Tamandua tetradactyla: one gene and its partners. The protein of the gene in region 1 purifies or fractionates together with the protein of each later gene. This does not show direct contact. Links are inferred from orthologs where the notes say so. Each region holds a gene or a part of one and is shown in the gene's direction. Other genes may lie near its edges.

What was found.
Region 2: the proteins of AXIN2 (region 1) and GSK3A purify together in Homo sapiens (affinity purification with mass spectrometry; 3 studies listed by BioGRID and IntAct, with this or other methods). This does not show direct contact. The link is inferred for Tamandua tetradactyla from reciprocal best matches to the Homo sapiens genes AXIN2 and GSK3A.
Region 3: the proteins of AXIN2 (region 1) and GSK3B purify together in Homo sapiens (affinity purification with mass spectrometry; 9 studies listed by BioGRID and IntAct, with this or other methods). This does not show direct contact. The link is inferred for Tamandua tetradactyla from reciprocal best matches to the Homo sapiens genes AXIN2 and GSK3B.
Region 4: the proteins of AXIN2 (region 1) and CTNNB1 purify together in Homo sapiens (affinity purification with western blotting; 4 studies listed by BioGRID and IntAct, with this or other methods). This does not show direct contact. The link is inferred for Tamandua tetradactyla from reciprocal best matches to the Homo sapiens genes AXIN2 and CTNNB1.

Annotation. Positions count from the first base shown.
Region 1 is NC_135332.1:8,456,899-8,464,835, forward strand, and holds the start of AXIN2 (axin-2), read left to right. Parts: upstream 1-4,930; 5' UTR 4,931-5,029; intron 5,030-5,035; exon of another isoform or gene 5,036-5,153; intron 5,154-5,368; exon of another isoform or gene 5,369-5,533; intron 5,534-5,660; exon of another isoform or gene 5,661-5,773; intron 5,774-6,477; exon of another isoform or gene 6,478-6,565; intron 6,566-7,704; 5' UTR 7,705-7,820; coding exon 7,821-7,937. UniProt on the Homo sapiens protein: Inhibitor of the Wnt signaling pathway. Down-regulates beta-catenin. Probably facilitate the phosphorylation of beta-catenin and APC by GSK3B.
Region 2 is NC_135342.1:21,910,758-21,918,386, reverse strand, and holds the start of GSK3A (glycogen synthase kinase-3 alpha), read left to right. Parts: upstream 1-4,618; 5' UTR 4,619-4,761; coding exon 4,762-5,044; intron 5,045-6,791; coding exon 6,792-6,979; intron 6,980-7,629. Other genes in the region: ETS domain-containing transcription factor ERF, read left to right, coding at 1-46. UniProt on the Homo sapiens protein: Constitutively active protein kinase that acts as a negative regulator in the hormonal control of glucose homeostasis, Wnt signaling and regulation of transcription factors and microtubules, by phosphorylating and inactivating glycogen synthase (GYS1 or GYS2), CTNNB1/beta-catenin, APC and AXIN1.
Region 3 is NC_135336.1:25,803,119-25,810,243, forward strand, and holds the start of GSK3B (glycogen synthase kinase-3 beta), read left to right. Parts: upstream 1-4,109; 5' UTR 4,110-4,463; intron 4,464-4,469; exon of another isoform or gene 4,470-5,271; 5' UTR 5,272-5,571; coding exon 5,572-5,659; intron 5,660-7,125. UniProt on the Homo sapiens protein: Constitutively active protein kinase that acts as a negative regulator in the hormonal control of glucose homeostasis, Wnt signaling and regulation of transcription factors and microtubules, by phosphorylating and inactivating glycogen synthase (GYS1 or GYS2), EIF2B, CTNNB1/beta-catenin, APC, AXIN1, DPYSL2/CRMP2, JUN, NFATC1/NFATC, MAPT/TAU and MACF1.
Region 4 is NC_135341.1:46,094,337-46,101,448, reverse strand, and holds the start of CTNNB1 (catenin beta-1), read left to right. Parts: upstream 1-4,099; 5' UTR 4,100-4,300; exon of another isoform or gene 4,301-4,510; intron 4,511-7,112. UniProt on the Homo sapiens protein: Key downstream component of the canonical Wnt signaling pathway.

The DNA of each region.
Region 1 (7,937 bases):
TTGTTCTGAAAAGCAGCTGGAGAGGCAAGGCAGTAATGGGGAAGGACCTGTCACATAAGTGGGGAGGAGCGAGCCTCAGATAAGCCAAGCAATATACAGAGTAAATGGGCCCATTTGACTTAGCCGTTAGGATGCCTTTTACCAGGCTGAGAATGGTCTCCGTGGAGCTGTGAGAGAGGAAAAGAGACTATGATGGATCAAGGAGAGAAGGAGAGGGAAGGAAGTATGGAGAACAAGTATAGACTCCTCTTGAGAGGGGTTTGCCACCCACTCTACACTCCTGACTGTTTGGCAGTCCATCAGGTAAGGAAGGAGGCGCCATTACAGAATCGGCGGGCTATATGATAAAGCAGAACATTGGAGACATGGTGTACAGAAGGTTTTTCGACATGGAGCAAAATCAAGAACCTCTCCAGGTGCTCTGGGGGTTGCCTGGGATCCGGGGGAGCAGCCTGCCTCATGGCAGCCATCCCCCTGGGGTCTGGGAAAGCAATCGGCCAGTGTGTAGGGATGTTCAAAGGAAATCAAGAGACAAGCTGACATGAGGAAATGGAGAAACGTATTTCAAGTTCAATAAAACTTCACTTTCCAGTTGTTTAAGATGAACAAACTGAAACCTCACAAGCAGAAAAAAAAAAATCTTTGGGGACGGCCCAGGACTACAGATCTATTTGTTAGCAAAGTTTCACGTGGCACCTGTTCAAGTAATGCCTTTAGAGATGTTTTCCCCCCGTTTTTCAGTTCCTTTTCTGAAAATGACCTTTTTTGGGTTTGCTTGACATTACGGAGGAGATAACTTCAGAAAAGAGAGTCTCTTTCCAGATTTGCTTTCATATTAATGGTCTCTTCTAGCTCTAAGCTCAGGCCAACTACTAAACTAGCCAAGATGAAGAAAGGTGTGACTCCAACATATCCAACAGTTTGTGGCATCACTTATAATACATACTAAAAACACCTCAAAGTAAATAAAATGAAGAAGTTTAAGGTTTTTGTTTAAATTAACTATATCCAAAGTTAATATACCAAAGATTTTGCTAACAAAAGAAGTTTTCCCCAACATTTCTATGGGTAGTTATTTCTTAGGGAAATTTCACATTTCCCTTGTGGATTCAAAATGTCCTTGTTGGTATCCCCAACCCCTCTCTGCAAAGAGGAAAAGAAGTAGGAGGAAGAGAGTGGCAGGAAGTTGACCCCTACTTTTCATTCCTCTCCTTCCTCTCAGGCTCTGTAAGTTCTTCTCCCTTAGGCTGCTCCAACCTCACGGAGCTGCCCGGGGAAACAGCTCCCACCAGAAAAGACTCCGTGGGACCACCCAGGCTGCAGCCAGTTCCTGAGGTCAAGGCTGATAGGGGCTGAATGAAGTTTGCTTCAGAAGAATTTCAGGCTGAATCCCTGTTGTGACACTTTGGAGAAAGATCCCAAAGCACATTTATTAGCCCTCCCCTGAGAGCCAAAGGATCTAAATGCTTAGCTCTCTTAGCCCAATCCTGCCCTGGATCTTCTCACCACGACGTGGAGGAAAAGAAGAGGGTGGGCCAGAAGCTGGGATCGCTAGAAGGTTCTAGCTCAGCTTTGATATGGGCGAAATGATTTCGGAAAGATCCTTTCTTAATTTTTCTTGTCTCTGAAACGATGGGGATGGATTAGACAAGACCTTAAGTGCTCCTGGGGCTGGAAAATTCTGCTATACCTTTTCAGGACCAGGATAGGAGTCTCTTTGAAAGAAGGCAGAAAGGCACAGCTTTCCTTTGTCCCCCCAGCCCGGGCCCCTCTGCAGGGTTGGCAGCTGGGCTGGCTCAGCTTTAAAGGCCCTTCCTGATCAGGTTCCAGGTCCCCTCCCCCGGGAGTGTGACTCCTGATTGGAGGCTGTCTTTGTTTTGAATAGGGGCAGTTCCTTTCAAAGGCTTTTGTCTGCACAGAAATAACCACCCTGTTCTGAGCACCTACTATGTGCCAGGCACCTACTATGCTTACCTTATGGCCCATCTCACAACAGCCTTTGGAGGGGGGATTTCCTCCACTCTACAGGTGCACAAACGGAGACTTGGAACAGCTAGGTAACCGGCCGTCTCAGGAAAGGTGTATCTTTCCCTGTGTATCTCTCCACCTCTCTCCCTAAACAAAGGTACATTGTCTAAGGCAGCCCTTTTCCAAAGAAATAAAAGACCAAGTTACAGACTCTTAGAGAGTGATGTTCTGGGTGTGAGATCCTCTGGAGCCCCAGCTGGTGTGAGCTCCCTCCAGGGTGGTTTTTTGTGGGGATGACTAAAGGTCACAGATCTGGCCGGATGCCTCTCAGGGAGCCCTGAGCCCTGGTTTCCTGGGATTCTAGAATTTCAGCCCAGGACATAATTCCAGAAAAGAATCACTCCCTCCTTTATTAAACTTGTCTGCACTTGGGCAAAGTGGGCTGTTTATTCTCTGTCGGGTTTTTCTTTAAAGAGCGGGTTCGGGCTGGGGGCGGGGGCAGTGAGCATGTGCAGAAATCCATCACCTTGCTTTCCAGTTTCCAGGCAACCGTGCAGGATTACAACCAGTCACATGATAGCGCTGCTGCCAGGGAGAAGGGGAAAATGGAAAACTGTGCTATCTTGAGAAAGGGGCTGGGTATAAGCAAAGAACTTTGGGTCTTCCGCTTAGAAATATTATCAACAAGTGGTCAGAGACCCAGAGGCCAGAGAGGGCTTCTGGCAGCTCAGCCCTTTGGCCAGCCCTCTTGCTGGATGGGGAATGCATGACCAGATATGAAGGGGGAGGGGAGAGAGGGCAGGGGGAAGGAGGCGGGGTGGGGTGGGGGTGGGTCATTGGCCTGAGGTGACCGAGCACCTGTTCTAGAAACCAGGCTCACCGAGGGATTATAACTGAGAAGATGCAAATCAAACCAGGCCTTGCTTGGCTTCCCCATCACCAGTCCCTCCTTCCTGCCGCTGCAGCCTGGGGTGATGAGGGAGTTCAGGGGGAGCCCACTGGCTACAGCCAAACCTTTGATGCTTCAGGATGGTGGAGGGGTAGTGGAGGGTCAGTGGGGACAGCTGGGAGGGGAGGAAAACCACCCATGAAGACTAAGTTTCCACTTCCCTTTTCAAATCCCCCTCTTTGTGAACATTGTTTATTTTGATTTTGGATGTTTTGATTTTTCACCCCCCCCCCCACATTGCGTGAGTGCAAGTGCACTACTGTTGTTTTTTCTACTGTGGATGTGTCTGCAGGCAATCGAGGCCTCGCTACACTTTCGTTCCTGTAATAACACCCTCTGTGGCCTAAAGACTCCCTGGAACCACAGGCTTTAACCCAGGGGACAGCTCTGCTCTTCGCTCTCCTGGGGTGGCCCCAAATGGGTGTACCGCTGCCACTGGGTGCCCTCCAGCTGCTCAGAGCGCGCATGTGCGCACAGGCTGGCTGCCGAGAGGGGCTGTGGGCCATTCACCCTCCAGGGTTCCGGAAGGCTGGTCTGTTAGAGGGCACCGGCCTGAACCAGACCTGCTTCCAGCTTCCTCACGCCCTGCTGCTGTCCCAAGGCAAAGATGAGTCATTGGGCCACACTCTTGCTCTGGTCTTCCTGGTTGGCCCTGCGGCCACGGACACAGAGAGGCAGGGCAAGTGCTCCAGGAGAGAGGTACACCTGCCTTGGCACTCAGGGGCTGAAGAGCCCAGCAGCCGGAGCTGCAAGAGTTTCTCATGCCCCCATTGTAGGCTGGGGGTGGGTGGAACACTGGCCCTCTGTGTGCCGCTTTCCAGCATGTCATGGGTGGTGTATCTCCCTTGTCGTTTTCTGTGAAAACCTGAATGGACAGAGAGAAAGTTTCTTGCATTTTTTTGAGGGTTCACAGGCCTCTGCCAGGTTAGGGGTACCTCTGCATTTAAAAGGGCTCATCATACATTAAGTTCAACAAGACAGTAAGTCAAGAAAAAGCGAGCAGGGCTGGAGAGCCAAAGTCTTGCCCAGCTCTGATGCTGGCAGCTCTGCCCCACAGTCCGGGGGTCCCTGGCTCACACCCTTTCCTAAGAGGAAGCAAAGTTAACTATGACATCATCCCATGAGGGATCATTCTGTAGCAATGCATGACGAAATAAATAGTACTCTGGGTTTTGTGGCATATTTCTTATTACCTTGAGTGAGGTTGTGTCCCATAAACATTATTGGGCAAATGTGGGGAGGAATTGGACTGCGACGGTGGGGTGGCGAGTTTTCAGTACATTAAAACCGCGTGTCTGGAGGGGAAAAAAGACACTTCGTGTCTGTTTAATATAGAACATATGGGAGGATGGGGAACGCTTGGGAGAGGGCGGAGGACATGTTCCAGAGAGGTGGTGAATGTGTGCGCAGTGCAGGTTCCGACTGGCCAGCAAGGCTGGGAAGCAGGGGTTACATCTCCAGGGAGTTGGTGTCAGGACTGGTCTCCAGCACTGGGAGGAGATTCACAGCCCCATCTTCTCACATCCACAAACGCACGTTGGTCCTGCAGTTACCCAGAGTCAGATATAGAAGCACACGCACGCGCACGCCTTCCGCATCCCGGCCCGCTGGCGCCCTCTGACACTCGGCCAGTCCAGCCCAGGGCTAGAACTCCCTTTCTAAAGTCCTCCAAGCCCGTATTCCCAGGGAAACTTTAATAGAGGTAGAAAGTGTTTGATGATGGGGAAAAAAACGCCAACATTCTGCTTGCTTGCAGTTCTTGCGACCGCCTGAATGCTACAATAAACTGTTGCATTCCAGAGCTGGGGACGGCAAGGGAAGGCAGGGGGAGGAGGCGAGAGCGAAGAGGCCGGAGAACTTGAAAGAGGAAATCAGAAACTCCGGCTGAGAAAGCCACTGGGGCCACGGGAGGCTGGCAGGGGGCGGAGGAAGGCCGGGGAAGGGTTAACGCGGGAGCTAAGCGTGCGGCGGGGGCGGGCCGGGGCGGGCACTATCCCTTTAAGGCGGGCGGCGCGGGCCCGCCGAGCGCGGCGGTGATTGGCGCGGCGGGATCACTGGCTCCCGAAACCCGGCCCGGGGGGAGGCGGCTGGAGCCGGCTGCGCTTTGATAAGGTCCTGGCAACTCAGTAACAACCCGAGCGCCTGGCAATAAAAATAACCCCGAAAAGGCATGGAGCGGGGGGCCGCCCGGCGTGCCAGCCGTCCGTCTCCCCTTGCAGAAGCCCTGAAGTAAAAGGTGGGGGTGGATGTCGGCCCCAGGAGAGCCTCTTCAGAGGAAGCCCCGCGTGGGCCTGAGGGAGAGGTCGCGCCGACCCCGGCGTGGGCCTGGGGTAGCGGGAGAGGGTCCTGTGGGGCCGGGGCCGAGGCGGACCGCGGGGGTGCGGGGGATGGGACAGGCCGCGCGGCCCCGGGGAGGGGTGCGGGGGCGGCCGGGGCGCGGCCTGCGCGTACCTCCCTTTCAGGACCGTGCGCTCGGCTCGCGCCTTTGAAGTGCACAGTTAAATCCACAGCGCAGTTTTTGTTGGAAGCGCCCGGAGGATCTTTGGTGCGCGGAGCGGCTGCTGGACGCGGGGCCTGTGTGCAGTGCCGGGCCGCCCGCGGGCGGAGGCCGGGGCGGCTCTTTTTTTTTTTTTTTTTTGCATAAAAGGGGGGGCGGAGCGCGCCGCGCGGCCCCTCCCTCGCCGCTGGATTTCCCTCTAATCCCGAGATTGTTGTTTCTCCGCCTCCCCCCCACCCCCCCACTCCCGCCGCGCGACTCCCCATGTTCCCCGACGCCGGGGCCGGCCCGGGGGGGGCCCGGGGCCCTGCGGGGGGAGTCTTGGAGGTTTGGCCGCGGAGCGCGCGCGCGGATCAATGGTGAGTGCCGGGGCCGCGTCGGCGGGGCGGCCCTTTGAAGTTTTCTGGAGAGCTATTTCGGGGCGCGCTGCGGACCCGCGCGGAGGGGAGCCGCGAGCCGGGCGCCGAGCGCTCCAGGGGGCTGGGCCTGGCCGCGCCGGAGCCCCCTCCCCAGAGCCCGGGCCCGGGTGGCGGAGAGGGGGCAGATACCCCGGGGGTCGCGGCGCTGTCGTCGCGAGGGATGTAAGTCGGCGCGCGAGTGCGCGCGGGAGTGCACTGGGGAAGGTGAGATGAAAGGGTGGCGGCGCCCCCAGGCCCTCGCCGCCCCCTCCCTCCCCAGCCCCCCCCCGCCCCATCCTCTCCTCCCGCCCCTCTCTTTCCTCCCCTTCTCCCCTCCCTGCCGCGGGTCCGCGCTAAGGGGCCACGAGCGCCGGGCCAGGCTCAGTCCGCGCGCAGAACTGGCCCAAGCCCGGGGCGCTCGCGTTCTCCGCGTCCTTCCTCCCCGCCCGCGCCCCGCGCCCCGCGCCCCGCGCCCCTGGCCGCCTCGCCGCCGCGGCCCCTTTTGCCGAGAACCGGAGACTCCGCGCGCGTCGCCATTTCTGGACTTGGCCGCCGCTTTCCGTGCTTTTTCTGCGGACGCCTCTGCGAGCGGCGGAGCCGGGGACAGACTCGCGCCCGGACTCCGGACGCTGCTTGCGCCTCTTGGGGTTCTTGCCCCACGCTCGGCTCGATTGGGGCAGGGGCGGGGATGGGCCAGTCCTGAGGGTCTCGGCCGAGATGAGAGCCCGGCCTGGGGCCGCCTTCGTCTTCCAGGTATCGAGGCAGCCCCACCTCCCCAGCGCTCGGGTAACCGGTGCTGCCCGCGGCTCCGCCGCGTTGCCCGGCCTGGGGTTCCCCGGCCCGACCCTGCCCTCTTTAGTGCGATCCTTCCCGTGCTAAGGAAAGCGGTTTGTTTATTGGCTAGATAAGACTTTTTTTTTCTTTTGGAAAAGATAGGCTTGAGATCAGTAGAGTTCGGGAGTCTTGGCATAGACAGTGGTAGCGTGAGACAGTTTCTGATCCGGTTTTGTAGGGTTCGCGGCCCCGGGAGGTGGGCTGGGGGGAGGACGGGGGCGGCAGGGCCCGAGGCTTCTCTGGTTTCTTGCAAAGTTTGAAGATCAAAGTCAGGGCTGAGTGAGTTGGGTTTTTTGGTTTGGGGGAACGGGGGAGCCCGAGATGGAGACACGTAAACTGAACCGGATTCTTGGCGGGGGCGGGGGTGGGGCGCGGCGAACATTCCCATCTGGGTTGAGGGGCGTTTGCCTCCTGGGTCTGGGAGTCGGGAGCCCGTTCCGCCTTGTGTTGGGCGGGCTTCTTTCGGGAGAGGATCTTCGGAATTGTTAAGGAGTGGGAAGGGGGGAGTGCAGAGGAAAGGGGGTGGCTGGGGGAATGGGAACCAGATGCCGAGGAAGGGCACGTTTGGGGCTCAAGTTATCTGTACGGAGAGCCGAGTTAGGAAATTTTTGCCGAAATTGGTTTCACCTGCGCACAGCCGGGCGACTCGGAGTGTGTCTTTGGAGTTGATGCTATGGGTTGGGGGGAGGGGAGCAGGGAGGTGCTCCCGGGACGCCTTGCTTGCACCGGGGCCCAGGCGGGTGTTTGGAAAGCTGTCTCCTTACCCTGTCACCCCCCCATCAACCCTTCCCATCTTATTTCTCTCCCACCTCTCCATCCCGTCCCCTCCCCACTCCCTCCCCCCCGGAAAACTGTGCAGGGAGCTCAGGTTTCGCCTTTGAAAACGCAGCGTCTTATACTTTAGATGAGCACCTCGCAGATAGCTGGGTTGCTTGATTTGAATTTGAGGAGTTGAAAAGCCTGTTTACTTTCTTGCTTTGATGTTGGGTAGATCTGGTTTTGATTAGATCAATACCCTTTTCTCTCTCCCCACCTCCCCCCCTTCCTTTTCTTTGCAGAGAGGAGGCTCAGATGAGCTCCTGCTGACTTGAGAGGGAAAGAGAGACCACGCTGGTTGCTGAGAGGAACTGGAAGAAGAAGAAAAAAAAGCCAAACTCAGAACTCCTCCCCCGCCATGAGTAGCGCCGTGCTGGTGACCCGCCTCCCGGACCCCAGCAGCAGCTTCCGCGAGGATGCCCCAAGACCCCCGGTTCCGGGAGAGGAAGGGGAGACCCCACCGTGCCAGCCCGGG
Region 2 (7,629 bases), on another chromosome or scaffold:
CCAACACGCCACGGCCCAGCTCTCTCTGGAGCACCGAGACTCCTGAGGTCTGTGGGCAGGGGACCCATGTGCCCCCATACCCATGCTTCTTTTGCTGCCTTAACCACCCCACCCCCCAATGCCCTGGAGGTGAGGGCAGCTGCCTCTTCTCTGCCTCCTCCCTCTCCCTGCCCCCCCCCCCATATTTTGTATAAAACTTTAATTTTTTTTTTAATGGTCGGGATGGGTGGGTGCCCAGAACTGGGGACTGTCCCCTGTCTGTGGGTTTCTAAGCTCTGGGCAAGGTGGGGGAGGGAGGAGGACGGGAGGGGGGAGGTTAAGGGGGCCACTGCCGTTCTGGGGATTTTTATTTGAATTGAGGCTCTGGTCTCAATACCCAGGAACTTTTTTATTACAATCGCTTAGGAAGTAAAGCCTTGTCTCCCTCCCTGGCCTCTGCCTCTTGCACCTCTCCCTCTTGCCCCACAACCATTCCCAGTCCCAACCCTGCCTTCCTTGCCCCTCCAGGGGCTGTGAGTGCCTGGGCTTCTCATACCCCACAAGGTAACAGCAGGGGAGGGAGGGACAATTTTATGATGAACCAAAAATTCTGCGTGGTGGGCGGTGGGAAGTGGAAGAGGGTGAGGGGTGCCACCCATGGGCCACAAATCTCTTCAAGTGCCTGCTGTCCTTCTCTCATTCCCCACCCAGCACCGGTCCAACCCCTTCACCTTTAGCTGCTCCTAGGACTGGCCCATGGGCAGGTGGGTGGGGGTGGGGTGGGAATGGGCTGCCCTGAAACCAAACTGGAAGCCCCCTCTGCCTCCCAGCAGGGGCCCCTCGGGTGGGGTGGGGGTGGGGGCTGTGGTCAAGCCTTATTCTGTACTGGGCATGGAGGGTGGTGGGGAGGGAGTGAGGGAGGGGCGGCTGGAGAATGTATTCCAAACAATAAAACTTTGGACCTTTTGATGCGGTCATCTGTCTTAAGTGTGGGGCACAGCCTTTGCTTGATTCTGAAGGACAAGGATCTGGTCTGGGTCCTACCTCCCTACCTGCCCCTGTAGATCTGTGGCCAGAGGGTCTGAGCCCAAATGACTGGGTCAAAACGGCCTGGGAAAAATCTCCTGACCTCAGGGCTACATAAACCTCAGGTCACACTCTGGCCTTAGAGCTGACCACTGCCCCATTCTGTAAAGGACCTGCACTTCCATGAAAGTGCTTTCAACTCTTCATCTCTACCCTGTTGCCCAGGCAGTTTAGATGGCTCGAAATGCCCTTCCCTGGTTCTGTGACTCCTTCCCACATCCCGATTCCCCAAGAGAATCAGAGATGGTTTTTTTGCACTCTCACATTCTAACACCGGCACCCTCCTCTGGGTGTTTCTAAACTAATCTGGGGAGTCCTTTGGAGACATGGCCCACTGTGTTTTGAAATGTAGACCTCGCCAGGAACCCTAATGATCTTTGAGGAACCATGGGAACACCCCAAGCCAGCAACTTGAGAAGGGACTGGCTCAATAATTATAGTTGTCATTGATTGGCCTACTTTGTGCCAAGTACTTAGCTAGAAGCTCCTTCAACAACCAGTGAGGTAGGGACGATGGGCACAGTTAAAACGACTGACACGCTCGAGGCCATGAGGCTGTAGGAAGTTGAGCCAGGACTTCTGTGTACAAACTCCAAGTTCTTTTGACAATGGAGTGCTCCCTGAAGCTAAAATGGTTGGCCCAAGATCAGGGACTCCATCACAGGATCTGAGAGGTGAGCTTGTGAAACTAGAAACAGAGATTGGAGTTCTCTGATAATGGCTAAGAGAATGAGAGTGAGGAATTCAGGCCGGAAGTGCCCTTAGAGAAGAGCCTGACCTCTGTAGTGGAGGTGAGGTGCCTGAGGCTGAGAGGGGGAAGGGATTTCCCTAAAGCCACACACCTGCTAAAAGAAGGTAGGGCTCAGGGGCTGCTGGATTGGTTTCACCATGAAATCCCACCCTGTGTAACCCTGAGGGAGAAAGAACATTGGCTGGGTAACTGCTACCCACTCTTGCTTTGACCTCATCTACTGCCAGCCCAGGGTGGGTGGTCCCAGATCATGGATGGCAATGAAGAGAGGATCCAGGGCTGGGATACTGGCAGGAAACCTAGGCTCCCGTGGTGGCCTGCAGGCAACTGCTCCCTCTCCTGGGTGATGTAAGTCACTCCCTGGGGTGGGGACCACTGGGAGCAGCTTCGCTGGGCTATTTCTGGAAGTTGGGCTGAGGTATGTCTCCTGGCAACACAGATGCAGCTGAGAAGTTGGTGGTGGTGGGTGATGGAGAAAGGGGCATGGCATAATTGGGGGGAAGGATAGGACCCTGACTAGTAGCTTCAGCCTCCAGACCAGGTGCCTTCAAAACAACTCTAACCAAGTCTAACATGGATTCAAAAGTCCTCATCTCCAGAATTGCTCTCCTGTTCAGGCCAGGGTCCAACTAGACTTATTGCTCCAGATTCCGGCTGAGTGGGATGCCACACTGTCTGGCACCTGGCCTCAAAATTCCAGCGGCAACCCCAATCTTTAATGACCCACTTAAATTCATTTGCAGGCCTGAAAAGCTAAGTTCCTGTGAGACCACACCCTTGGTCCCTTCCATGTCTTCCAAGATCTCTGCTTCCAAGTAGAAAGTCCCATCAAAGACCCTGTCACCTCTCTAGGCACCTTCAGGCTACTCACAAACATTTACAGCCTATCTTAGTACCCTTCTTTGAACGTTCTCAGCCCCTATGAATGGCCTGATAGATTTCTTCCTACAGTCGCCCTGAGACTCTCGCGGACCCCAGGCTCTTCGGTGGCGGTTGCCCACGCGCGGCCCACTACGCACTTCCCGCGGATTCTGGCCGTTAAGTAACAGTCTTTACCCTGCCTCGTTCGGGCCATCGGCCTTGTGGGCGCGCAGGTTCGCGTTCCCCAAGCCCTCGGGCTTGGTTCACATTTTTGCTTTTCGACTCAGAGCTGCCGTCAGAGGGCAGCAGGCGCTGCTTGGCTGGGAAACTATAACTCCCAGAAAAAATTGCTCCGAGCTGTGCGTGATAAAGTCGCAAGCAGTGAGAAAGAGCGGAACTGTGGCCGTACTTTGCCTTCTGGATAATGTAGTTCGAAACGGCTCCAGCGCTGCCCCCTGTCCTGTCCCCGGGAACTGTGTCCACTGGGAAATGCACTCAGGAATAGATCGAGTGGACGGAACCTTCTCCCGGCTTCCGAAAGGGCAGGGCTGTATACACTTAGGCTCAGATTAAAGTGAAATCCAGGCTCTTTCCCACCATTTCACGAGGCGGGAGGGGCTGAGAGCGTGTTCATCTCAAGTGTTTCCGGAGGCGGGGTGGGAAGGAGACACAAAAACTCTGTTTCCCAGCGTCCTTTGGAACATTCTCCTTCCTGGTATTAATCGATAAATCGGGTAATTCAATGAATGCACAAAGCTTGATGCTGCTTCTTCCAACCGGCTTCCTTGTCTTGAGCCCTCCCGGATTCCGTAATGTAGGAAGCGGAAGACACAGTCTCTTTTAGCTTTCAGCTTAGACTCCTAGTATGATCCACATTGCTAGAAAGTGCTAGCGTATATACGGAGATTGTGTAGTATTCTGAGACATCGTTGGGAACTTAATTTCCTAGATTCTTTGGGTGGGAGGCGCATTTTTCTTTTTCTTCCCGGAATGTAGACATCTAGAACTTGAAGGAGTGCTGGACTACATTTTCCAGCAGCCCCTGGGAATTACATGTCTTAGTATCTGGGGGTTGGGGAAGAAGGCTGAAACAGGTCTACGATTTCCCAGGGGGTTCTGTTTGTTTGCTTTGTTTTTTTTGCCCACACACTCCTGGTGGTATTCATTGGACTCCATTTCCCGACAAGCCCAGGCAGTCTCGTTTCACCGCAGGTCAGGATCCGGGCTGGACTAGTCCCAGCATGCTTTGGGCTCATGGTAAACCCCTACCCCCTCGGTCGATGGGGAGGCAGCCTTGAACTCCATTTCCCAGAAGCCGCAAAGGCTCGCTGTAGACACATCGCTGAAGCCTTGGTGTCAACTACATTTCCCGGTAGGAACTGCGGCCGAGCGTATGGAGTAGAGGCGAGCCATAGCTATTTCATTTTCTAGCCTATCTCCGGAACTGCAGTAGCCACTGGAGGCTCATGGACCACGTGGGACTCCATCTCCCGGAGTGCCTTGGAACCGCTTTACACCCGCATTGCAGTGGGGGTGTGGCAACGACTCCATTTCCCAGCTTGCCACACGGCGGATTTTTGTGAGCCAACGGGCGTAATTTCCTAGAGTGCACCTAACGCGGGCAGGCATGTATGCCCAACGGACTAAGAGGCTGGACTTCACTTCCGGTTACGCAAGAGGTTTATGTCGCTCCCTGATGGAGCGGTTGCAACTATATTTCTGAGGCACACCTCCGAAACGCCTTGCCGTGGTGGAGTGAGTGTGCCGCTCAGACTCTGTTTCCCAAAGTGCTGTAGGGTCGGCCGTCGGCACAGTCGGCCGACGGAGTACCCAGGACTCCATTTCCCGGCGTGCCAAGCGACTCGCTCTACCGCCCGCAGGCCGAGGGCGGTGACGACTGCGCGCCGGAGAGGCGGACTGCAGCTCCCGGCGTGCCCCGCGGCGGGCGCTGGGCTGGAGCCGGAGCCCGAGCCCGAGCGGCGAGGCCTGGAGGAGGCCGGAGCCCGGGGGAGGCGGCAGCAGCGGCGGCGTCGGGGGCAGCCCGGGCAGCCCGAGCCCCTCAGCCTGGGCCTGCTCTCGGCGCCATGAGCGGCGGCGCGCCTTCGGGGGGCGGCCCCGGGGGCTCGGGCCGGGCGCGAACCAGTTCGTTCGCGGAGCCGGGTGGTGGCGGCGGAGGTGGCGGCGGCGGCCCCGGGGGTTCGGCCTCCGGCCCGGGTGGCAGCGGCGGCGGGAAGGCGTCGGTCGGGGCCATGGGTGGGGGCGTGGGGCCCACGAGCTCCGGGGGTGGCCCCAGCGGCAGCGGCGGAACAAGCAGCGGCGGCCCCGGCGCGGGCACCACCTTCCCGCCGCCTGGAGTGAAGCTGGGCCGTGAGTACTGACGGCGCCCTTGGCGGGTGGAGATACGGGTTCCCGAGGCCCCTCAAATGTCGATCAGTTCTTTTCGTACACCCAGATAGGAACCTGAGGTCACTGTGCCTCCCCAAATTGGTGTGTGAGCTTGCTCCCTTCCGGAGGAATGCGTTTAGGGGGGTACCATCGCTTGGAGTTTAGGATCACAATTACTAACCCTCAAAGAAATAAGGAGTCACAGGTTCTTGTTTTTCCAAAACTTAGATCTTGATCTCTTGAGCCTTAAAAACAGGAATCTGACATTCCATCCCCTAGAGAACAAATTCATTGTTATACTGTCCTCTTACAAAAACAAGATTAAGATCACCACCCCCTTCCACAAAGGGGTCTCAGAATTTGCTCTCCCTCAGAGAAGAGTCAACACCACTTAGAAACAGGGATTTGGGATTATTGTGTCCCCAAATAATAAGACAGAGTTTTTCAAACTTGGTGTCCTGGTTGTCTTCTCTTTTAAAATACAAGGTCTGTTGCCATTGCTCTTTCACAGTTTGTAGAACTGTACCGCCAATGGTGGAAATTAATGGTTACTGTTTCTTAGAAATAAGGACAAGTGTCACCAGTCCTCCAGAAGTGGGATTAAGAGTTACTGTATCCTTCAAGTCCATAGTCACTGCTCTTCAAAAAAAAAAAAATGGTGGGTCTCCACAAAAATGGAATGAAGGGACACAATTCCCCCATAGAGTATGGACCAGAGGTTATAAGTTTCAATAATTATTTTGGGGCATGTGTCATTGATTTTGAAATAAATCACAATGTAGGGTCATCTTCCAAAAGAAAGTGTGATGGCCCTTCAAAGTGAATTAGGGTCAGCAGCTTCATCCAAGAAAAGCAGTGACCATCTCCTAGCAATGGCATGAAGGTTTGCTGCCTTAAGAGAATAGAATTTGGGAATCAGAGTTTAAGGATAGCCTTCTAAGAGTAGAGATTAGGTTCACTATTCTAACAATATGATGCTTCTTGGTTAGGGACCATCCATACAGTGAGGATTGTGGGACTGTGAACCACCCAGATGAGGAGGTCAGATCAGTGCGTTTTCTAACATGAAAGTATTTGAATAAGGGGTAACTTTCCAAAAAGTGAGGTCAGGGCATTACCATTCATGTTAGAAGAGTTCATTTATTCAGTCATCAAGAACCAGTGGTGAAGTTACCTGCTCTACCCAGTAGGACTTAAAGGTCACTATTTGCCAAACTGAGAAACCAAAGGTTAGTGCTTTCCCAGAGTAGGAGTAGCTCAGGGCTCAAGGTTACTGTTCCCTTAAGTGGAAGAGGTTAGGTCAGGCTTCTCCCCAGACAGGAGGGGCCAAAGATCAGTAAGCCCAGAGTGGATAGATTCAACGTGTGTGTGTCTCTGTGTGTCTCTGTGTGTATGTCTGTGTGTGTGTCAGTGTCTCCCCATAGTAAGACCAGTGATTTGTGGCTTACTGGAAATTGGGGTTAACTAGTCCTTGAACTGCAAAACAGTTTAGGTGTCAATATCTTCATGTACAGGAGGAGGCAGAATTAAGGTTTACATGAAGGGGAGAGGGGAAAGGTCACTGGGAGAGCTCCAGCATCCACCTTTCTCACGGAGAGAGAAGGGACAGAGGTCACACACAGATCTCTTTTCCCCTCTCCCCTCAAAGCTCTGGGGGGTGGTGGTGGTGGTGGTGGTTAATGTTCAGAGGGGAAAGGTTAGTCAATTGTGTGTCCCTTTTGTCCCCCAGGTGACAGCGGGAAGGTGACCACAGTGGTAGCCACCCTAGGCCAGGGCCCAGAGTGCTCCCAGGAGGTGGCTTACACAGACATCAAAGTGATTGGCAATGGCTCCTTTGGGGTCGTGTACCAGGCACGGCTGGCTGAGACTGGGGAGCTGGTGGCCATCAAGAAGGTTCTCCAGGACAAAAGGTTCAAGGTAACTTGGGGGAAATGGGGACAAGGAGGTTTGGGGACAAGGAAGTTTGGGGACTGGGCATTACTGGTGAGAGAGCCCCAGCATGATAGCTGAGAGCTTGGGATTTCAGAGGGGGCTCTGAGCATGGCCCAGAGAAGGGAAGGAAATGAAATGTGTAGAAGAGAAAAAAGTGGGATCCAGGAGTCCAAAAAGAGTCCAAAGCGCAGTTTCATTCTTTCATTCTGCTTTACAGGGTCTCTTGTTTAATTTACATAAAAATTCTCTAAGGATTAAGGTTTGGTACTATATAGTTACTCCTATTCTAAGTAAGAGGAAATTGAGACTCAGATAAGAGAATTGCCTGAGGTCAAAACTAGAACATGGCCTGTGATTCCCAAGCCCTGCATCCTAACCACTAGATAACATCCCCCTCCCAGCCGACAGAGAAAGGAAATTGGCAGGGCTGTTGCTGATGTTTATGAAGATCCTGAAGGCTGCGCTCTGCCCCAGGTTGTTTGGCGATATAGGGTGAAATCTAGTTCTCTGCCCCCTACTCACAAACCATGCGCTTCGGTGCAGGTCTCTGTCACCTTGAGAAAGGGATACCCTTTTGTCATTCATACAAAGATGTTCTATGAGCTAGTGGAGACCCAGGGAACTAGAAGAACATG
Region 3 (7,125 bases), on another chromosome or scaffold:
GAAGGCTGATGTGTCCAGAATACCTCTGTCTGCTGGGAAAGTGTGTTACTGGCATCTGCTGGGGTCTTTGGCTTCTTGTTTCAAACAGCTCCCTGAGAGTGTTTTCTTTCTTCATCTTCAAATGTCTGGGTCTCTTGTTGGCTCTGACGCTTTTTCCAAAATTGTTTCCTCTTAGAGGACTCCAGTACTCAACCCCATCTTGAATGGGTGAAGACAAATCTCCATGGAAACCAACTAATCAAAAGGTCCCACCCACAGTTGGGTGGATCACATCTCCACGGAAATGACTTAATTAAAAAAAAATCCCACCCAGCAATATTTAAATAGGATTAAAGAACATGGCTTTTCTGGGGTATACAAGTTTCAAACCAACACATGGTATGACGTAAAGGTCTGCTTTCTTTCTTTCGTATGTGGAAATCCAGTTTTTCCAGCACTATTTTTGAAGAGACCATCTTTTTTCCCCACTGAGTGGACTTGGCAACCTTGCCAAATTCAATTAGCATTAGATATGTGGGTTTACTTCTGAATTTTCAATTTTATTCCATCGGTCTGTATGTCTGTTTTTTTGTGCCATTATCACACTGCTTTGATTAATGGAGCTTTGTAATAAATTCTGAAATTGTGAAGTGTGAGTCCTTACCTTTCTTCTTCTTTTTCAAGATATATTTGGCTATTCAGGATTTCTTACCTTGCCTATGAATTTGAGAATTGGATTTTTCCACCTCTGCAAAGAAATATTTTGGAATTTTGATTGGAAGTGCATTGAATCTGTTTATTAAATTTGAAGGGCAGCACCCAGGAACACTGTAGGTATTTAATATATGTTGGTCAAGTAAATGAGCTCCTAGGAAGAGCTTGTTCACAGACTTATGTTTGGAATGGCTGCCACCAGGTTCATTAAAAAAAAAAACTCATATTCTATTTGCTACTCTCATTATTAAAGCTACCTACAGTTTCCTCAAACTTCAATTTAAAATGTAGCTAGGTGATTCTGAGCAACTCATTTACTCACTCTAGTGTTTAGCTTCCTTATTTGCAAAAAGAGAATAGCTTTACTGGCTTGCTGTGAGGACAAAATGATATAACACATGTTAAAATACTTCCTAAACCTCAAAATGCTATGCAAATGCTTATTACTACAGAATTTATAAAGTCAGTTCATTGTGCATTTTAATTTATAACTACCATCTTGTAGACTCTCTTACCCACTACCCTACTCAACCATTCTCTATCAACCGGCTTTCCACCCTTTATCTTTTTCCAGTTGTTTAGTTTACTGATACTGCGGCTTAGAATCACTAATCTCTGCAAGGCACCACTTGATGGGCCCTAGAGAAAAACAAACTGATATTCTATAAGGTTTGTTCAAAACCAGAAATACACAGTAAGAAAGTATAAGGTTTAGATTATAGAAAAAGCAACATGTACCAGGAGAAGTAGGGACAGAAGTACACAGGAGACGCTAAGAATAGGCTCTCCGAACCCCAGTTCTACTTTTTATTCTAGCTTTCTAAACGTTTCTTGTCCTCAGTTTCCTTATCTGAGGATCAGAGATGAAAATAGTACTTCAAAGAATATTATGAAATTTAAATGAGATGGTATTTATAAAATACTTAAGAACAGTGCATGGAACATTGCAAACAATTTATTTATAATTAATATAAACTGATAAAGTGGCTGACAGTAAGCAGGAAAGTAAGAATAGGTTTGCAAGTTCACAAAAGCAATTACTGAATGTTAGTTGCAGTAGTTTTGTATTTTCTCATAAACTTCTTCAAGCCCTAATTCTTGGACTGCAGTACACTTTCTTCTTTCTTATAAAATCTACCCCTCTTGGTCTGATTTTTTTTTTTTATACAACATCAGTTCAAAATACTGAAGGCAGCAACAATAAAGTAATTATAACCTCAATGTACACAACTTTTGTACTATTAAATACAAAGGAGCAAGTATGCTATTAATCTGTATGACATAAACGTTTGTTTCCTATGGTATAGTTGGGAGTTGGAATACGGAGTACAGAAGAGGAAGGTGAGATTCAAAGCTAAAAGGGTTCATAGCATTTTACTCTTTTTTTTTTTTTTCCACATGGGCAGGCACCGGGAATCAAACCCAGGTCCTTGGGCATGGCAGGCAAGCATTCTTACCTGCTGAGCCACCATGGCCCACCCGACTCATAGCATTTTAGGTAGCAGCACTAAAGGTCTTTCCTGATACTTGGCATGGAGAGGAACCATTCAGCAGACAAAGCCACCATTCCCTGATTATGCTTTTAACATTCTTTACCCTAGCCATGACATCCACTGACTACATGTTCTCTCTTCATTACAAAGAATAAGGTTTTTTACTACTACAAACTGATGAACTAACTGTTGGTTACCCCTGATGTTTCTTGCTTGGCCCGAGGTGTTTCGCATAGCCATGACATCCACTGACTACATGTTCTCTCTTCATTACAAAGAATAAGGGTTTTTACTACTACAAACTGATGAACTAACTGTTGGTTACCCCTGATGTTTCTTGCTTGGCCCGAGGTGTTTCGAAATACTGATTGCTAACATTTAAACATCCAGAGAGTTCACACAAAAACCCAGTTTTAGGGGTTCTCCTGGGGTAAAAAAGGAAGCGATTATCTCAGGACACTGGACATACATTTCTTCAGGTGAGACGCATCTGCTTCCTCTGGTGATGCGTGGACACTTCAATTTGCCATTCTGTATTCCCTATTACCTTACATCAAGCCAGCTTCACTGATTTGCTTTACTCGTCTGGCTTCTCTAGACATATGAGTCAGCAAATTCTATCTAGACCTTTCCTGTCTCCCATCAAAGGTCACCTGATTCTGTCCCAAGTCCCTCATCAGCTTTTACAAAGAAATAGGTAATCTGATCAAATACGGGTACTATCTGAGATAGTATCTTAACAGAAAGGGATGATTCTGCAGGTACAAATTACAGGCACCAACGGTTCACAATCAGGATAACTTTCCGTTCTACTTTGCCTATCCGGACATAGCCATATTTCACTGCCTTGTGGCAGACCAAAGTAATCACTTTTTTTTTTTTTTTTTTAGTGTAGAAGAACGAATGTGTGAAATCTACTCAAACTGGACTTTCACAGATCACTCCAGTTCCAAAGGACTTCAACCACTATGGGCTCATTTTTTTCTCCATTTCCTCAGAGGCTTCCGAACATGCGGCCTGACGGAATTTCTCACCTACTTTTGGGACCGGTTTTGCAGTCCACACAGTCTACACAAGGAGCGCGCGCAACCAGCATGAGCTCATTTCTCAGAGGCGTTTCCAGAAGGCCCAAACTGGACGCGCGCATCTAGGCGCAGTCGGCCTCATTCTAGCTATGGCTCCAGCAGCTGGGTGGGGCACGACCGCTCAGAGATGCTGCCTTTCTGGAAGCTTTGTTTCCACTTTAGCACCCGGCCACGGTGAAAACTCGCATCCTGCCAAGGAAGCTCCCTTGGCTCGTTGAGCCCTTTTGGGGAAGACGCAGGTACATCGGACTCACGATCCCGGGCTCAGGGAAGCCTCAGACACGCAGTTTTGGCCGTGCCCCGCAGACAGCCTTTATTTGGTGGAAGAACTCCTCGACATTCCTCCGTTTAAAAGCTCGGAGCCCAGTCCCACCCACCGCAGACATTTCGGATGGGGGTGCAAAAAGTCCGAGCTACCTGCACGGCCTGACAGCAGTCGCATAAACCTCCGTCAGGCTGGCACCACTACTCCAGTTAAGGTTCTCCCAGATACTAGGACTGCCGCCGCAGGCTGAAAACCAATCACACTACAGCTATGTCTTGCGATAAGACGGCAGTGAGTTTCGATTGGCTATCGCTAAGAGCTTCGCCCTCCCTCCCTTTCCTTTTGCCCCCCACACCAGCGCCAAAGTTTCAAGCCAATGAGAAGGCATTTTATAGACGTCCTCTCTTCGCTTTCTTCTGCTCCGCACCACGGCGAGGGAGGAGACGTCGTAACTGGCTAGACTATTCTCGGAAGCCTCCTTTCCCCTCACCAATCACCCAGCGAGGTATAATCCCAGCCGAGTTTTTCAGCCAATTATAAAGAGGCAGCGGTGCCCAACCGCGCAATTTCACCAGCGACTCCCAGGTTCATCGTCCTTAACTCTTCGTGCTTTTTCGTGAGGGCGACTGACTCTGATTGGTCACTGCTGCATTGTCGATTTTCTCTTCCGTCCAGCCATAGAACAAGGCGAATCCACCTTTATCCCGTTCGGCTATCTTCGACAATCTTCGCTCTTTGGGTGTGGGTTACCAGCGACACTTTCTAATTGGTTCCTCAAGCCGATCGGCTCTTTCCGGAGGAGTCTCAAACAAACGGCGTCGTGATTGGCCCAACTCGGTCTTCGGCTTCTCAGCCGAAGTGGGCGGGTGCGAGCTCGGTCGGCGATTCCCAGACGCCTGTTACGCGGGCGGTGGGGCTCTAGGCGGGGTAAGGCTGGGTGGGGGAGGAAGGAGGCGGAGGACGAGTAGGAAGGGGGAGGGGGGTGAGGAAGAGCTAGGCGACTGCGCAGACGACGCTCCTCACACAGAACAGCCCCGACCCAGGCGAATGCGGGTTTGTGCTGCTGCTGCCGCCGCCCGGGCCGAGTGACAAAGGAAGGAAGGAGGGAAGCGAGGAGTAGCCGACCCCGCAGCCGCTGACAAGGCTTCGGGCTGAGGGCAAAGCGCCGACACTTCCTCAGCGGACACGGAGCAGAGGCTAGGGGTGGGAGGGCGGCCGCGCTGGTGCGGTGGACGGGGGAGGGGGCCCCGAGGGACGGAAGCGGTTGCCGGGTTCCCATGTCCCCGGCGTATGGGGAGCAGTCGAGGAGCCGCTGCCTGGGGTCTGAAGGGAGCTGCCTCCGCTACCGCCGCCGCCATGGCCGCTGGATCCAGCCGCCGCCTGCAGCTGCTCCTGGCGCAATGAGAAGAGGATCTGCTGCCACCGCCCGCTTCTGACTGACTCGCGACTCAGCCGCCCTCTAGTTCGCGGGGCCCCTGCCGTCAGTCCGCCAGATCCCGCCGCCGCCGCCGCCGGAGCCGCAGCGTTTCCCGTCGCATCTCCGAGGCACCCCCTCCCTCTCCTTCCCTCCTTCCCATCCCCCTTCTCTTCAAGCGTGAGACTCGTGATCCTTCCGCCGCTTCCCTTCTTCATTGACTCGGAAAAAAAATCCCCGAGGAATATATAATATTCTAAGTGCTTATTTTCAATCAAGTATTTGTCCCCGTTTCACGTGAGTTTTTTTTTTTTTTTTTAGGATCCCTCCTTTTCTTCCCCTCCCCCAGGAAAGGGAGGGGAAAGAATTGTATTTTTTTTCCCCATCCCCAAATCATCTATATGTTAAATATCCGTACCGATCTGTCTTGAAGGAGAAATACATCGATCGTTTTTTATAGCTATACAAAAGGAGTGAAAAGCCAAGAGGACGAAGTCTTTTTTTATTTTTCCTGTGGGAGAACTTAATGCTGCATTTATCATTAACCTAACAACCCAATACAAAGCAAAAGGAAGAAAAGGAGGAAGGAAGGAAAAGAAGGTGATTCGGGGAGACAGGATCATGTCAGGGCGGCCCAGAACCACCTCCTTTGCGGAGAGCTGCAAGCCAGTGCAGCAGCCTTCAGCTTTTGGCAGCATGAAAGTTAGCAGTGAGTATTGATTTTAATTTACCCCCCTTCGCTACCTCACCTTTAGAATACGGAACCTTGAAATACTAGGGTTTAAAAATTTTGGGCCTCCCGATTTAACAATCTGGTTTACGAAAAAGGGCAAAATTAGTCTTCAGTAAAGGATGAGGCAGCTCCCTCTTTTCTCCTCTCGTATCCCCTTCCCCTGTCTCATTAACCTTGAATTGGCAGAATAGGATTTGTATTTGGATGAATTGATATGAAACTTTTGTTTTTTAATAGTTTTTCTTGCTGTTGGTAGTCAGTTTTATCGAGTGTTTTGAGTGTTTTCGTGTTAAAATAGTGATGAAAGTGTTTACTTGCTTATTCTCTTGAATAAAGAAAACAAGACTTGTTTCATAAGACATGTACGCTTGCGGAGTGTACTTTTTTTGAGTGAGGGAGGATATTGAATACAGTTTCGTATATTTAATAGATGCTCTAAATATCACATCCCCCTAACATGTTTTTCTTGCTTGTGTGACTATACAAAGTATTGTTCTTAATCCGGGGGTGAACTTGATCAGGAACCAACCTTTATGTTTGAAGTGAGCATTGACTCCTCTCCTTGGAACTGGCGTTTGGGAGCCCATAGCTATCCAGCAGCAGTACCATCTCTACATGCATTGTCTTAAATTGAATAAGTGGTTTAATGCACTTTTTTTTATGCTTCCATTTTGACATTACCAGTTTAACACTAATTTGTTTAGTCAAAAGGTAACTTGAAAGTAGGTATAAGTTTTGAGGTTTGTAATGTCATATTGCCAAATACTAGGTTACATGTTAATTGCCACTGATTCATTGTCATTTAAGTTCAATTTGGGGGTGTCTTTGCATTCATTACTTTTAAATGTTCTAGAGTACAGGGGTCCTCTATTAGGACTATTTAAAACACTCTTATCTTGGCTTCCTGTTACATTTAGAAAGAATATGAATTTAATGATAAGAATATGGATTTAGCTCTTTTTGTCACGGCTTTGCAAAAGCCTGTGGCCCTGGATATAATAGGGTTATTTGGGCTGTGCTTGATAGGAGCTGTTGCCAGACTGTACTCTTGTCCTGGATTTGTGCTGAAAAGTCCATGTTCGTGAGGTGGTTGGTATACTAAGTATCTGATGTTCTATTGTATCTCTGTTTGTGGAGATGTTTATTGTATATTTGATGAAGTGTTTAATGACAGCTTATTTAAATATACTTCCAGAATTTGTCAGAAATGTGTGTATTGTCTCCTTTTTCCTCCAGAGAGGGGCATAATGAGATAAAAAACAAGCTCTTGCTGCCTAGAACAGAAAACTGAGGAACTGAGATTTAAAAATATATATATATATATGCTATTACATGTACAATGATTACTTTTAATTGAATTTAAGATTTCAAATCATGTGGCTTTTTGAGTCCAGGTTTATAGCTGAATGGCAGATTAATTTTTTAAGTTAATCCCCCTTCCC
Region 4 (7,112 bases), on another chromosome or scaffold:
CAATAGCTCACCATGTTGCCTACTAACCGAAAGATCAAAAATTATCGATTTCATGGCGCTGCGTGCTCTGGAAAGAAAGCTACTTTAAAATTTGCATTGTTTAAGAAATGAACTAAAAGAAAAGAATTACTTTTTTTTTCTGAACACTTTGGAATTTGAAAATGGCTTGTTGTTTTAATCTTATCCATGATTTACTATTATTCTATTCTTTTTAGCAGCTGGAGTCCAGAAATCATTTTTTTTCGATAAATTTAGGATTTTGCCGCAGTATACATCTGCAGTCCCAGAATCCTCCGGTAAGTTAATCCTTCTTGCGATGGGAAACGCCTTAAACCTTCTTGTGAATGAAATATCTGCAACCATTTTGAAAATTTTAAAAGAGGGGTGTGTGTGTGTGTGTGTGTGTGTGTGTGTTTGGGGTTTTTGTGTGGGGGTGCATCCAAAGAATGATGTGTTTGGAATGTGGCGGTATTTGTCCTAGTTCTTAGAAACATTAAGACACGTATATTTTTGTGTTCCTTGAATATCATGGATGATGTCTCCACTGCTTGTCCTTCACCTTTCTTGGTAGCCATTAAAATGTACTTCCTTAGAATGGTAAGGACTGTTGTGTCAAACCAATTAAGGTCTCGAGAACACATAACTCACAGCACGAAGACTGTTCTTGGCTTAACTGTAGTAGCCATGAGCATAACTGCCACTGCTGCTGCCACTGCCACCACCACTGCCATCGTCTTCCACCACCTTTGCCACCCCTCCCTCGCTCTGCAGTTCACAGGAGATGCAAGCATTCCACAGCGACTCTCCGCCAAATTTGCCAGTGGGTTCCTAGATTACTTCTGTGCATGAGAATAGCCAACCATGTAGTCTGATAAGAGGTATTTACAAGTACTTGGTCTTTTCAGCTGGAAAGAAATCAAAAGATTACACTGAACCCCAAGATGCTGTATTGCAAATTAAAAGTTCCAATCCATAAATAGCCCACTTGATGAATTGTTAAATGAAAAGCTGGCCCTGATTATTGTTTAGCGCTTTTGGGTTGTCATAAAGGAAAATTTTTAACAGGCCTTCTTAGAGAGTCAGGATTTGCTGTTTGTAAATAGACTTACCTTTCTGCTGGAAGGTGATTCTCCAAAGGGATTTGGATGGAGAGTCCAGAAGAGACCACACCCTTGTTTCACAGCTATTTTTTTTTCATTCTTTCTGCTTATTTTCGAGTGAGGTTAATTAACAGTTACAATTATACATTAATTTAAGGTACCTAAAATCAAAAGGAGCCAATTTTCACTTTCCTCTTTCTAAAACACACTCATTGTCTTAAGTGCGCAATAAATGTTTAATTAATGGATTTGATAGCATTAACAGGACTTCTTCATAATGCTGGCTTGATTAGTTTTCTGAATTGCAAAACAATCTGGGCATTTATTTCTATGCCTAAAGGTGATTCAAATGCATGTATTTTTAGTGAAGAGACACTTACTGTTTGGATTCTGCATAGCCACTGTTTGATATGCCAATGATCAGCAATTATGACAAGTAATACCTTCTCTGTTATACCAGCTGGAGACAGCTTTTGGTTTTCAGGAATACAGCCTAAAATTTCGAACCATTTGTCTGTTGCAGGTTCACAAAATGAATTGATTTATGTCAAACTTAAGTGGGCTGGCTGTAGAAACAAAAGGTGTAAAAAGATAAAAACCAAGCAAACTTTTACAAAATGTATTGCCCAATGTCAAATTTTAAAAGCCATTTTTTATAAAATCACTTATTTCACCAACTCATCAGGTATTTTGATATTTGCCTTTCTCTTTGGTTTAATGATAGTATTTGCCTTCATTTCACAGAAGTTATTCATCTTATAATTTTGGTGAGACAATTGGAAAAATTTGTTTTACAAGAGAAGCAAATAAAAAAATCTGAGCAATTTGTTAATTTTAACTCGTCTTAATGCTAGTCAGCCAGTAATTCTTCAAAACTTAAACTTGATAGAAAAACAGCTTATTGTTTTGATGCAAAATTTGCCTTTAATCTATTTGCTTGCTTCAAGTGTCAATAGGGATTAAAAACTCACTTCTAAATTTAGATTAAAATGTTTAATTTATAGAGAACTGTTTCAATTATTTTGATGACACAATAGAGAAATATAAAGATGGTTGTTTTAATCCTTTTGATTTTCTAACAGTACAAATATTCCTGAACCAGTTTTAACAGTGTGCCATAATCAGCAAATATAAACCGAACATAGAAAAAGCAGACATCTATTTAAAAAAAACTACTATTGATTAAACAGTCATCTGATTTTAAAATGTATGGTTTTAATCATTATTTGTATTCTTTAATTCTGTATATGAGAATTAAAATTGGGAATCAGTACTTGGAAATGCCATTTCTACTATCGAGTTCATATTCAAAAACATTGCTTTGATAAAATACCTTCTTCTGTTAAATCTGTTTGAATTATGACCAGCCAAATTGATCACAACCATGAGTTACATTTACATTTAATTCTACAGAATTACTGGCAAATGAGAAAAGCCATTTTCTAGACAGATGAGAAAGTCATTCTAGACAATGGATCACTGAACATCATTTTAGTGCTTGGATTTACTCACTACAGCCGCCCACACAGTGCTACGGTGTGGAGGTCAACATCACCACTGTATACAGTAAAATATCTAAAGCAGACAAAAAAAGTTATTTAAAGACCATATTGGCCTTGAAGCACTTACTTATGCCTAAAACTACCCTTCACTTCTTCAGTGAATGACTAAATAGGTTTCATGCCTGTACTTATGTACAAAGGCTATTGTTTGTATTCATTAATTATAGTCCTAGGATAAAAGCCCCAAGATAACTTTCACTGTTGCTGGTTGTACTCTCCCCATCGTTTTACAGGAAAAAAAAAAACATAAAATGAGACTAAAGAAAGTGAATCAATCATAATTGTTTCAGTTTCGACAAATGCCAATCTTGCTTGCTTACAATGGAGGCATTTCCAAAGGACATGAAGACCCAACTTCAGCCTATCAAAACGAATTAGAAAATGGGTTTTTTGTTGTTGTTGTTTTTGAATAGAAAACTAGTTTTTAAAAAAAATCGAACCTGCCTAATCGGTAGCCCCTTCTATAAACACACACGGATTTCTCAAATAAGTACTACCGGAGAAATTCACCTCCACAAATAAATCTGATACTTAGTGGAACTAGATAAAAATGGAATCTATAAAAATTAACCTAATTGGCAGGGGTCTCCAGCTAATCCATTTTGATTAGTCATTTGTTCACAGTAGGCATTTATAAGGACTTGTTGAATTGCGGGCTTGGCGCACATTCTAACGAGAGTTCACAGCTTTCGGGAGTGGGATAGTAGGTGGCTCGGCCCTGGTCAGTCACGGCCACAGCCACGGTGAACAGCGGACTGGGACGCGGGGTCCACGATTCGGACAGCTGGGGGCTCTTTGGGGTGGCGGGCGCGTAGGCTGCGAGCCAGGCCCTGCGCCTAGCGTTGTGGCACAGAGCGGAAAGGCGGCGGAAGCCCCTAACTCTCTCCCCGCCGGAGCCTCCGAACAGACAGCGGGACGAGGGAGGTGGGGGGGCAGCGGCGGCGTCCAGGCAGCAGTCGATGCCTGCCGGGCCCAGACCCAAACTTCCATCCTCCCGAGACCCGCCCTGCAAGTCCACCAGCTCCGCGCGGTCCCCGAGGGCCCGGGCCGAGGTGCTGCCTCCCGCGGGCAGCGCCCAGTGAGGCCCATATCTGCTCGGGGGACACACCGGGTGGGGGGCGTAGGGCTAGGGACAGTGGAAGCTCATCTCGGTGCTGCCCTCCCCTGACCCCAGCCCGCGGGGACTCCGGCTTCCCAGCTCGCACCATGGCGCCACCCTAAGTTACACTCCGCTTCCGCGCAGCACCCACCACCCCACTAAGGGGCGCACAGGGAGCAAGCGGATAGCCCACCCGGCCCGGGAAGGACAAGCAGCAGCGAAGGGCTTCGCGTCGCTGGAACTACTTTCCGCCGCCCGCCCGCGCCCCGCCCCTTGCACTCACGCGGTGGAACGCTCCGCGCCATGCCGGCGGCGGCAGGATACAGTGGCTTCAGCGCGTCTTATAAGAGGTCCTTGTGCGGCGCCATTTTAAGCCTCTCGGTCTGTGGCAGCGCGTTAGCCAGGCCTTGGGAGCGGAGAGTGAGGGGAGGCGGAGACGGAGACGGTGAGAGGTCCGAGGAGCTCCAGTCCCCGCCGATCCCCGACCGCAGGCCGAGGACGCCCAGACTCTCGCGGCGGGCGGACCCTGTACCCCTGAGGTGCTTGGTGCTTCTTTCCTTAACCTTCTAGGGCTGCTCCCGCCTCTTGTTCTGAACCAAACTTCGTCGCGGCGCGCAGTCCTGGCGGCGGGCGGGGAGGTGGGCCCGGCGCTGCCAGGAGGCCCGGGTTGGGGAGCCTGGGGGTATGGGCTGAGGTCGCCGGGAGGCGGCGGGGGCGGGCCGCGCTCGGGGGGTAGAGGGCGGTGGCGGTGCCCGGGATCCGGTCGCGCTGCCCCTAGGAGACCCGGGGGGCGCCGCTTGCGAGGAGGGGGCGCCGCAGGCATGCGTCCAGGAGCCCGGATGGCGGGCGGGAAGGGGGAGCCGTGTTTCCGTCCGGGGCCCCGGCCGCGGCCGAGTTTGGGGGAGGGACCCTGCGCCTCAGGATACGCCGGGGCTGGGGTGGGGGGCGGGGTGGGGGTGGGAGCCTTCGCCTTCGCAGCCCAAGAGGGGAGTTGGGGTTTGGGCGCTGGGGCCGGGACACTCCCCGCTAGGTGCCCTCTGCGGTAGGGATGGGGCCATTGGACTTTCTCTCCAGATTCCTCCTTTCGTTCCTCAAGAGAATTATTATCATGCTCTAATGCCCAGCCTATGTGAGTTTGGCATTGGAGCTTGTTAAAACCGTACCAACTTTAAACCTCAGAGGAACCAAACTCTTAGTGCAGCCGGTGCGATGCGCCAGGAGGGTTTCCACGTATCAAATCCGTGTCTTGTACCTCTATCTTTTCGTGTCGTGCAGGTGATTCCAGTAGCGACGCGTGTTGATGTACTGGGAGTCTTCTGGGTTTATGGCGGTGGGTGTGAGACCTTGGTAAAATAAGGGGGGAATGGTGTCGCGGTTTACGGTTTCATATAAATGAACCGCGGGATTCAGCCTCTGCTTGGAAAATGTTGTTCGTAGAAATAATTTACTCAGTTTTGTGACAGTTAAACTTGATTTTTGGAGCAGTTTTCTTTTCAGTGGAGCGAAATTGTCCAAATGAAATTTAAGTACGGCAACTTCTTTCGGTGTTTTGTCTGGGGAAAGGACTTTTTGAACAGAGGCTTTCGAAGTTAAGTTCCCACAGACCGCTTCTGAATCGGCTTGAGAGCTTTGTCAGTCTGGTGTAGTACTTTCCTTCGTTTTCTGTTGGCGTTTGGAGGGAGGCATTGTCTCATACTTTGTATCTTCCAGACATCTGTGGTCTCCCCTCCCCCTGAGTTTTTGCGTGGTGAATGAAGGGGGCCTGGGCTGCTGGTATGCAGAGGTCGGCAAAAGGAAATCGAGGAGTGGTTTTAGTGAAATGAGAGCTTTGTATCATGAATAGTGGTGGCTTAGACTAGACATCAGCTTGAAGAGACAGCAGCGTTTCCTTTGATAGTCTCGGCTAATGTTTTTCAGATACTAAATTAAAGTATCTTGTCTAGGATTTAGGAAGCCATTTGATTGTCACTTGGTTAACATTAATATATCTTTAGATATCCTTATGTTGTCTTAATTTTTTTTCTAAGAAAGTAATATTAGATATAGCTTGAAAGGTTAATTGCATTATGCTGCTGTTTATTATTTGCTTAAATTAGTGAAACTTTCGTATTTCAGAGTGTTTAAACTTATTCTGAACTAACTTAGTAATAAATCTATTTTACTTTTACATTTAAAACACAAAATCTTTGGTATAAAAAAATTCTGTCAGGGTTTATTTTATAGACTGTTCTTTCACACTAGACAAAATTTGATTACTTTGTACCCGATATTCATTATTTTGACCTAGTCTTTGTTCTGAAGGCCACATACAAGGACAAGGCCCTAAAGTGATTGCAACAGTAACTGAAGAACTTGAAAAACTTGCAGAAGACTGTTCTATAGGATTAAAGGAATGCTCAAACTATTCAAGTCTGAAGTCCTTGAGGGAGGAAATAAAGAACTGTGCTAGAAAGCTTAGCATAGTATGTAATTTAGACTCCGCAAGGAGTCGGAGGCCTGAGAATCTTCCAGAGGCTAAAACAGTTATTTTAAATCGTTTTCAGAGGTAACCAACTTTTGTTTTTTCATATAGTGGCTAATAAAAATGAAGCATTTAACAGGGTTCAGGTGTCAAGAAGCATCCGTTTTCCTTTTTTTTTTTCTTTTGAACTAATTATCTGATTGCTTCATTTACCAAGATCATTATGTAGAAAAATTTACATTCCAGTGTTAGAACTTACTGAACAGTGATTTGAGCTTTCTGTTTTTAGTGATGACTGCAGTAAAAATTGTTGTAAATGGAGTGCCATATACTTGTTTTCATAAATTGTTCCCCTTTCCCCAAGATAGAAAGGATAACATGAAGGGGACAAGTTTCAAGGTATTTTGAGATATGGTGCTTAGAAAATCTATATGTAAATAAACTTTTTTGTTGCTGTTTGGGAAGGAGGATGTTGCATAAGTTTTGTTGCAGCCAGAACGAGGAGAATTCAAAACTTGGACTATCATTCTTATATACTTGGGAGGAGCTGTGAAATTTATATGAATATCTTCATGCTGACAAAACTTTTGTGTGACTGAAGTGAAACAATATATATCTGTAGTTACAAAATACTTTTATTTTCTTCCCTGGTCTATTAGTTACAAATACTAGTTATAGATAAGCAGGTGGTAAATTTTAAGTTTGTGTTTTCAGCTTGGTCACAAGCATGCTTGATTGCTAACCCAGGGTAGAAAGGATGAACAAGTTAGGGCAGGTCAAACCTCTAATAAAAATTATTGGTAACTATTCTGTAGCTGTACATGTTAACTTGTAACATTGTTTTTGAAAACATTACTTGTATTAACTTAGTTGTTTTCATGTAGCCCTCT